Linked DNA regions of Xenopus tropicalis. The protein of the gene in region 2 interacts with the protein of the main gene of each other region in a pairwise test. Links are inferred from orthologs where the notes say so. Each region holds a gene or a part of one and is shown on either strand. Other genes may lie near its edges.

What was found. The genes of interacting proteins can lie anywhere in the genome.
Region 1: the proteins of vesicle-associated membrane protein 5-like (region 2) and ergic3 interact in binary tests that used the Homo sapiens proteins (3 or more experiments, as listed by UniProt). The link is inferred for Xenopus tropicalis from reciprocal best matches to the Homo sapiens genes VAMP5 and ERGIC3.

The regions. Positions count from the first base shown.
Region 1 is NC_030686.2:42,542,338-42,546,628, forward strand, and holds the start of ergic3 (endoplasmic reticulum-Golgi intermediate compartment protein 3), read left to right. Parts: upstream 1-1,488; 5' UTR 1,489-1,540; coding exon 1,541-1,628; intron 1,629-3,919; coding exon 3,920-3,990; intron 3,991-4,291. UniProt on the Homo sapiens protein: Possible role in transport between endoplasmic reticulum and Golgi. Positively regulates trafficking of the secretory proteins SERPINA1/alpha1-antitrypsin and HP/haptoglobin.
Region 2 is NC_030679.2:125,676,237-125,680,421, reverse strand, and holds vesicle-associated membrane protein 5-like, read right to left. Parts: upstream 2,806-4,185; 5' UTR 2,655-2,805; coding exon 2,523-2,654; intron 2,162-2,522; coding exon 2,024-2,161; intron 805-2,023; coding exon 625-804; 3' UTR 114-624; downstream 1-113. UniProt on the Homo sapiens protein: May participate in trafficking events that are associated with myogenesis, such as myoblast fusion and/or GLUT4 trafficking.

The sequences.
Region 1 (4,291 bases), on a different chromosome or scaffold from region 2:
TTCCCCCCACTGGGGGTGCCGGGGTGCTGTTACTGCCCCAGCCTAAGGTTGTGGCCACTGTAAGATAATGAACAGGCTTGATATTAGTATTGCAGAGATTTGTTGAGATTAATGTGTATTTAGGCCACACATCCTATAATATCCTAGATCCCCAATGCAAATGGAACAACTTGGCTTTTTTTCCTGCACCTAAAGGGAATGAAATCTGCGGAATTTGTGTTTTCTGCTGCCTAAAACCCCAGGAGCAAGCTGTGTTTCAGCCAAACAGGGAAAGGAAAGCTACTCCATGCCTGCGGCTTGCAGTTTAGATAATAAGAATACCAGTGCATGATGGACATCCATTAATCTGTAAACAAAACAGTCACAATAAAGGGGTTGAATGGAGGGGGTTGTTTATACAAAGCTCAATATCTCTCTTATTTACAGAAGAGTAAGAAAATGTGAAATGGCTCAGGTTAATCATCAGGAAGTCAGCAACATTGAAAGGAAACACCAGACTGGCAGAGAATGCCAGCAATAAGAGGGCACAGGTGGGGGAGCAATAAAGCAGAACAGGGGTAAAGGGACTTGCCCCAGGGCACCTCAGCCTCATAAAACAGTGACAAACTGATTCAAGCAGTACAGTGGTGTAACTAGAGGTTACTGAGCCCCACAGTAAATTCAACTTAGGGCCCCTAAGTAGTGGCTTCATTATAGAGAAAGCAGACAGGGAGGGGAAGGCTGGAGAGGTTGACGTGGGCACCGGCCCCTGTAGAACATTCTTTTATGGGGGGGGGGGGGGGTAGAGAGTGATATTCTGAGACAATTTAAAATTGGTCTTCATTTTTTTTATTTGTAGTTTTTGTAGTTATTTCATTTTCAGTTCAGGAGCTCTCCAGTCTGGAACTTCAGCAGTTATTTGGTTGCTAGGGTCCACGTTACCTTAGCAGCCAGGGAGTGGTTTGGATGGGAAACCATTATATCTATAGGAGAGGGACTGAATAGAAAAGAAAGGCACACAAAGTAACAATAAGAATAAAACTGGAGCCTCACAGAGCAATAGTTTTTTGGTTGCCAGAGTCAGTGACCCCCCATCTAAAAACTGCAAAAAGTTATCAGAAGAAGGCAAATGATTCAAAAATGGTAGCAAATAAATAATGAAGACCAACTGAAAAGTTGCTTAGAATAGGTTACTCTCTCATATACTAAAAGTTAGCTTAAAGGTGAATTACCCCTTTGGGGCTTTACTTGCCCCTCTATTATGTTCCAGGGCTCCCTCTGTAGTTAGCCCCCTGAAGCAGTCACAGAGCCTGTCACAGCTTTGCTCCCCCCCTACAATAGTAGAAGCCTATAGGAGCTTAGGGGGCGTGGTCTGGTTTATGTATGAGTCGACATTCCAGTCACAGAGCGGCCAGGTTGAAATACCCGCCCCTTTCTCTGGCCGCTTCCTGCTCTCCCAATCACGTGATGCTGATGTCACACAGGATGAGTCCAGGCACAGGAAGCAGACGCTGCAGTGAGCCCAGCTAGTAGGTTTGTGTTCTCTGAGGGGCGGGGGAAGATGGAATCGCTGCACCGGCTCCGGCAGTTTGATGCCTATCCCAAAACCTTGGAGGATTTCAGGGTTAAAACATGCGGAGGGGCATTAGGTAAGCTGGGGGCATGTACAGGGGTTGCATGGGGCAAACCGCAGAGTGACAAGCTGTTTGTGGCCAAACTCAGCAGGGACACAGCTTGGGACCGGGAGAGGGCAGGACAGCATGATTTACAGAGGGAGGTTGGCAGTGGATCAGACAGGCGTCACTGGGCAGACAATAGGCTGCTACTCATTTAATGGCAGAGCTGAAAGCATTGGATTCACTGGGTAGAGAGGCTGGCACCACCTGTGTACAGGCTGGCATCACTGGGTAAAGAGGCTGGCACCACTTGTGTACGGACTGGCATCACTGGGTAAAGAGGCTGGCACCACCTGTGTACAGGCTGGCATCACTGGGTAAAGAGGCTGGCACCACCTGTGTACAGGCTGGCATCACTGGGTAAAGAGGCTGGCACCACTTGTGTACGGACTGGCATCACTAGGTAGAGAGGCTGGCACCACCTGTGTACATACTGGCATCACTGGGTAGAGAGGCTGCCACCACCTGTGTACAGGCTGGCATCACTGGGTAGAGAGGCTGGCACCACCTGTGTACAGGCTGGCATCACTGGGTAAAGAGGCTGGCACCACCTCTGTACAGACTGGCATCACTGGGTAGAGAGGCTGCCACCACCTGTGTACAGACTGGCATCACTGGGTAGAGAGGCTGCCACCACCTGTGTACAGACTGGCATCACTGGGCAGAGAGCTTCTTGCACCACCTGTGTACAGACTGGCATCACTGGGTAGAGAGATCCTTCACCACCTGTGTACAGACTGGCATCACTGGGTAGAGATTTTTGCACCACCTCTGTACAGACTGGCATAAATGGGCAGAGAGATCATTGCACCACCTCTGTACAGACTGGCATCACTGGGCAGAGAGATCATTGCACCACCTCTGTACAGACTGGCATCACTGGGCAGAGAGATCATTGCACCACCTCTGTACAGACTGGCATAAATGGGCAGAGAGATCATTGCACCACCTCTGTACAGACTGGCATCACTGGGCAGAGAGATTATTGCACCACCTCTGTACAGACTGGCATCACTGGGCAGAGAGATCATTGCACCACCTCTGTACAGACTGGCATCACTGGGCAGAGAGATCATTGCACCACCTCTGTAAAGACTGGCATCACTGGGCAGAGAGATCCTTGCACCCCCTGTGTACAGACTGGCATCACTGGGCAGAGAGATCCTTGCACCCCCTGTGTACAGACTGGCATCACTGGGCAGAGAGATCCTTGCACCCCCTGTGTACAGACTGGCATCACTGGGCAGAGTAATCCTTGCACCACCTGTGTACAGACTGGCATCACTGGGTAGAGAGATCCTTGCACCCCCTGTATACAGACTGGCATAACTGGGTAGAAAGGCTGGCACCACCTGTGTACAGACTGGCACCACTGGGTAGAGAGATCCATGCACCCCCTGTGTACAGACTGGCATCACTGGGTAGAAAGGCTGGCACCACCTGTGTACAGACTGGCATCACTGGGTAGAGAGATCCTTGCACCACCTGTGTACAGTCTGGCATCACTGGGTAGAGAGATCCTTGCACCACATGTGTACAGACTGGCATCACTGGGTAGAGAGGCTGGCACCAAATGTGGGGATATTTGTAAAGAATACTATAAACTAATATACTGATAGACTGGTACTACCATTATTCCAAGTCTTGATGGTATGGAGTCACTGGGTAGAGATAGCCTAGTGTACAGATTGGCACAGACTGGCATCACTAAGTAGAGTGGATGGTTTGATGTGTCTGGGCAGGGACGGCTTAGTGCCACATGATTCATAGATTGCCGCTAGTTATGGAGGGTCAGCCTAATAGACAGAGGCACTTAGTCATTACTGGGTAGGAAGAAGGCTGACTCCATAATGTGGGTACAGTGGGGTAGGCTGGCACCATGTGTGGTCACACATTACCACTGCAACCTGAGCAGTTTTGCAAAGATAAATGGGGGGAGGTGGTAGCGCCGGATGTTTAAAGCTGATAGAGTCCCCCAATCCACACAGACTCAAGGTTGGACCTACTAAATACTGACATAAAGGGGGTATAAGTCATTTATTTGTGTTTTCATTGGTATTAAATCAATTCACAGAGATATTTTTGTTAAACCTCCAGAGGGTGTGAATACTATAAATACTATACTATACTAATATATGTGTGTGTGTGTGTGTGTGTGTGTGTGTGTGTGTGTGTGTGTGTGTGTGTGTGTGTGTGTGTGTGTGTGTGTGTGTGTGTGTGTGTGTGTGAAGTTTCCTAATGCCTGTCCTGTTTTGTGTTTCTAGTTACAGTGATCAGTGGCCTTATCATGCTGATACTCTTCTTCTCAGAGCTCCAGTACTACCTCACGAAAGAAGTAAGAGCACCTTCTGTGGTTCCCTGTAGTTGTTGAGGTTAAAAAAGACACATATCCGGAAACTATTGTTTCCCCAATCCTGAGTGTCAGCTGTGATTTTTTTTTTTTTTTTGCAACAGGCACCCATTTAACAGCACAGCTGATTGCATAACCCCTGACAGATATAGATATATATAAAATACTGTATTTAAACAAAAGGAATAGATTATTAATTGTTTGCATAAGTGAGCATGAAATCACATGATTGTGAGTTTAAAATAAATACATGATATGACTAAGGGTGAAGACACACAGAGCTACT
Region 2 (4,185 bases):
CATTCTTTTGCATACCTGCCAGTCCACGAACCTTTGCTCCCATTCTCTCTCTGGTGTTCTTTTGCCCCCCAGGCCATTAAACTCTTTCCTCTCCCCACTGAAATAGGCGGGCATAGATTTGTTTAACTATATTTTATTGTGCTTTTTGTGAAGGAAGGATTATTTCCATCTTCGAGGCATAGACAGGGTCTCGGTGCCGCTCTTGGGTTACAAAGAATCAGTGCTCTGCAAGTCTCTATGCAGATAAACAGAAAGGACTGTAACACAACCGTCAGCAAAATAAAAACGACTGTAATCCAACACTCTTTGCAAATAAAAAACAATGGGGTACAACCCTGCAGGTAAGTACAGGTAGACAAGCTACAAGGAGCTATGATCTTTAGGGGAAGCTTTGCAGTAAAGTCCATCACCCTACAAGAGTTTATGGTAAGTGGTGCACACCCAGGCCTGGATTGGGATTCAAAGTAGGCCGAGGCATTTCAAGTACACAGAGGCCCAAAAAGCCCCCCCCCCCCCCCAGCCCAATAAATAGTGACTGTCTATGGCATCTTACAGCAGCCCCATCTGGCATTCGCCAAAATCCACAGATTGCCAGTCTGGGCCTGTGCACACCCTTCCTTTAATCTAATGCACTCCACTGGCATTATTAGGGGTCTCATTGTTTGGCAGTGTGAACAACACAATAATGACAATGAGGATGATCACAATTACAATTACAATTCCTCCAGCAATGATGTACCAGCGCCACTTCTGCCACCGGGTATGGCGTTCCACTGTCTGGGCCGTTTTCTGGAAGTTGCAGGCCTAAGTGCAAAAAAAAAAGTTGCTACTTTAAATATTTCTATAATATTCAGATATATTATATCCTTGTCATCCACAGTCTGGTCATTTTCTAGTGAAATTCAGAAAGCAGACATGCACGCTGCTGTGTGTTGATCTTGCATGTTAAATAAGGTAGGTGGGAATATGAAAGGTCTGCAACATGCACACTCCCGTTGTACCAACGTTATAAAGTTCTTTCCTTCCCACTCCCACCTACTCAATGTTTTCCTTTTTTCCTTGCATGGAGCGTCTGTCTCCCCCCACTCTTGCAGTTTCTCAAGGGGGTATGACTGGCCTGCTGCCAAAGGAATGTACTACATTGCTCAATCAAAACTAATCATACCAGTTCCCGGGCACACCAAATGGGTCTCCAATAGAAGAGCCTTGCACTCAGGCCCGGACTGACAATCTGTGGATTCAGGCAAATGCCAGAGGGGCTGCTGTAAGATTCCATAGACAGTCACTATTTATTGGGCTGGGGGGGGGCTGTTTGGGTCTCTGTGTACTTGAAACGTCAGGGTCTATTTGGAACCCCAGTCCAGACCTGCTTGCACTGGCCAAATCAGAATAGGCTTTTTAACTGAAATGAACCTGACAGATGAACTATATCCACATCAGGAAATGAAAGGAACACAGTTTTGGGGCCACAGAGTTACGCCTGGGAACTGAAGGCAGAACAAGACACTATGGGCCTGTTTCCCTAGTTGCATGGCAGTCCTAGACAGTGACAAGACAGTAACCTTAGCTATTATAAATATACATAATACATTTGGTTTCCTTCAAATTGTGTATCTATTACATGAGTTGTTTAACATGAGATTTTTTGTTTATTTTCCACCTGCAAGCAAAGCACTCCTGCTGCGAGTTGGCTCCCACCTGTGCTTTCATGGCTGCTTTGCACTGCTCTGAAGCAAGCAGGTAATGGCTGGGCATCAGAGAACTGTAATTCCAAATGTTATGCCCATCTGCCCAGCTATGTTGATGTTAGGGGAGCAAAACACTAACAGTGGGGTGGGTGGCAGCAAGCTCAGTTCTGTATGAATAATGACAGGGGTGTGGAAGGCGCTCAGCATACAAAGGGAGGGAAACTGGATACAAAACGTGAAGCAAGGGAATGAAAAGTGTGCCACAGCAGGCTGCACACAGGAAAGAGAAGTGTGTATGCCCACTGCATGTACGTACGGCCTGTCCCATGACATACCATGTTAAGCAAATCATTGGATCGATCCTCTAGGTCAGAGATCTTCCCTTCTCTCTCAATGACCGTGTCAACATTCTTTTTCATCAAGACTTTCACCTCCTCTGCGTTGCGCTGACATAATTCCAGGTTGTTGCTCGCCTGGGGTTGGAAAAACAGAGAGTGCTGTGAGGGTTCTAAGGAAGTCCATGATAATAGAACTATATCACACATGAGCACTGGCCTTTTGGGAGTAAAGGGAAACTGTACAATGCAGGTTTCTGTAAAAATATATCACATAAAACAGCCAATGTGTAATCCAATGTTTCATATAAAGAAAGGCTTTGCATGAAAAATATACTTTTCTAGTATTATGTACTATGGAATAATCCCATTTTACCAACTAAAGTCCTCCTTCTGGCTCATATAAGGAACTGTGCTCCCACACAAACACAGGCACACATACACCGCTAGGTTGTCAATGGACAGCAAACACACTACTTCCTGTTATGGTAGAACCTACATTATTTCCTGTCAGGTGGTCAGTGGGAGATGCCATTAAATGGCTGAGTATTGTGACGGTAAAGTTTTCCTTTTCCAAACACAGATGTTGTTGTAATGGCCCTTCCAGGAAAGAATAGCATTGTCTCATCATCCACTCCTACGGGATCGATGGTAAAATACGGTATTTTCCAAGAAGGCCCATAATGCCGATTGAAGGATTCTGTATAAATATTAAAGTGTGCATAGCAGGCAACTTGATGGCTGTTAAAGGAGACATATAGGATACACGGAAAAAACCTCTAATTTTGTAGGCAATAATGAATAATATAAGGTGCTTTTTTCACTTTAGGCTAAACATTAATCCTCTCTGTAAAAATGGCCCCTTTATTGGAGCTCCCTATAGATCCTATCAGTTCTCTGTCCATGTTTCAAATGAAGGGTGGGCGTGTCCTAACAGCCCCTGCCAGAAGCACAGCAGGAGGGGGAGAGCCAATCACAGCCCTGCACTCACGCAAGCAAAGAAAGGCTTCAGTTCCCTATCAGGTCAGCCTAGCTGCTGATTGGTTCCTATCCTACAATGCAGTGTACTGAGAGCCGCCGGCTCCCCAGCTCACCCAGAGAATTCAGCCAGCAGGAAGTGGCACAGATGGGCGGGACTAGTGGGGTTTTGGGGGAATTTCTCAATAAATCAGTCAGAAACACAACTTTTTTAAGCACAATCCTTCTATATCTAGGAGTATAATTCACTGGTACATTCATCATTTTTATACAATAAAAGCAGTAGTTTACCTTAAGGTTAACTTTTAGTATGTTATAGAATGGCCAGTTATTTCAAACTTTTCAAATGGTCTTCAAATTTAATATTTTTTATAGTTTTTGAATTATTTGCTTTCTTCCTCTGACTCTTTCCAGCTTTTAAATGCAACAATTGTTATTTTTTATTACTTATCTTTCTAAGTCCTCATATTTCTATTTCATATGTTTCATATTCCTGTTCCACTTCATATTCCTGTCTCTTATTCATACCACTGCCTAGTTCAGGGGTGGGCAAACTTTTTGGCTCACGGGCCATATTTACTTACCCCCGGGCCAGGGCGGGCAGGGCCAGGCCAGCGTTACGCCCCCTTAGTCTGTTTAATTCCGGCCCGCCAATGACACCAAGTCTCGCATGATGAGACTTGGCATCGTCGACGGGCCGGATTAAAAAGGCCACGGGGCCGGATGTGGCCCGCGGGCCGTAGTTTGCCCACCCCTGGCCTAGTTGCTAGGGTAATTTGGACCCTAACAACCAGATAGCTGCTGAAAATCCAAACTAAAGAGCAGCTGAATAAAAAGCTTGATAATTTACAAGCTGCATATAATAAAAAAAAGAAAAATGCACCATTAAATCTACACTGATTTTTAGATCACAAACCCATACCTCCCAACATCTGGAAATAAAAAAACCGAGACATAGTTAACCGCCACGCTAATTTTTGACTATTCCCACCTTTAGCCACAGTAATTATAAGATTGCTCCAATTTCTTCTCCCATTGAGACCCAGGTGACTGGTTGGCTAATAATTAGAGCCCTCTAGAGGGGTGAGCCCTGTTAACTTACTCATTTAGGGCCCCATACCCTTCAATGGTGGCCTGTGCCTAATAAGGATGGATTGTGCTGCAGGGCTATAACAGTTGCTGAA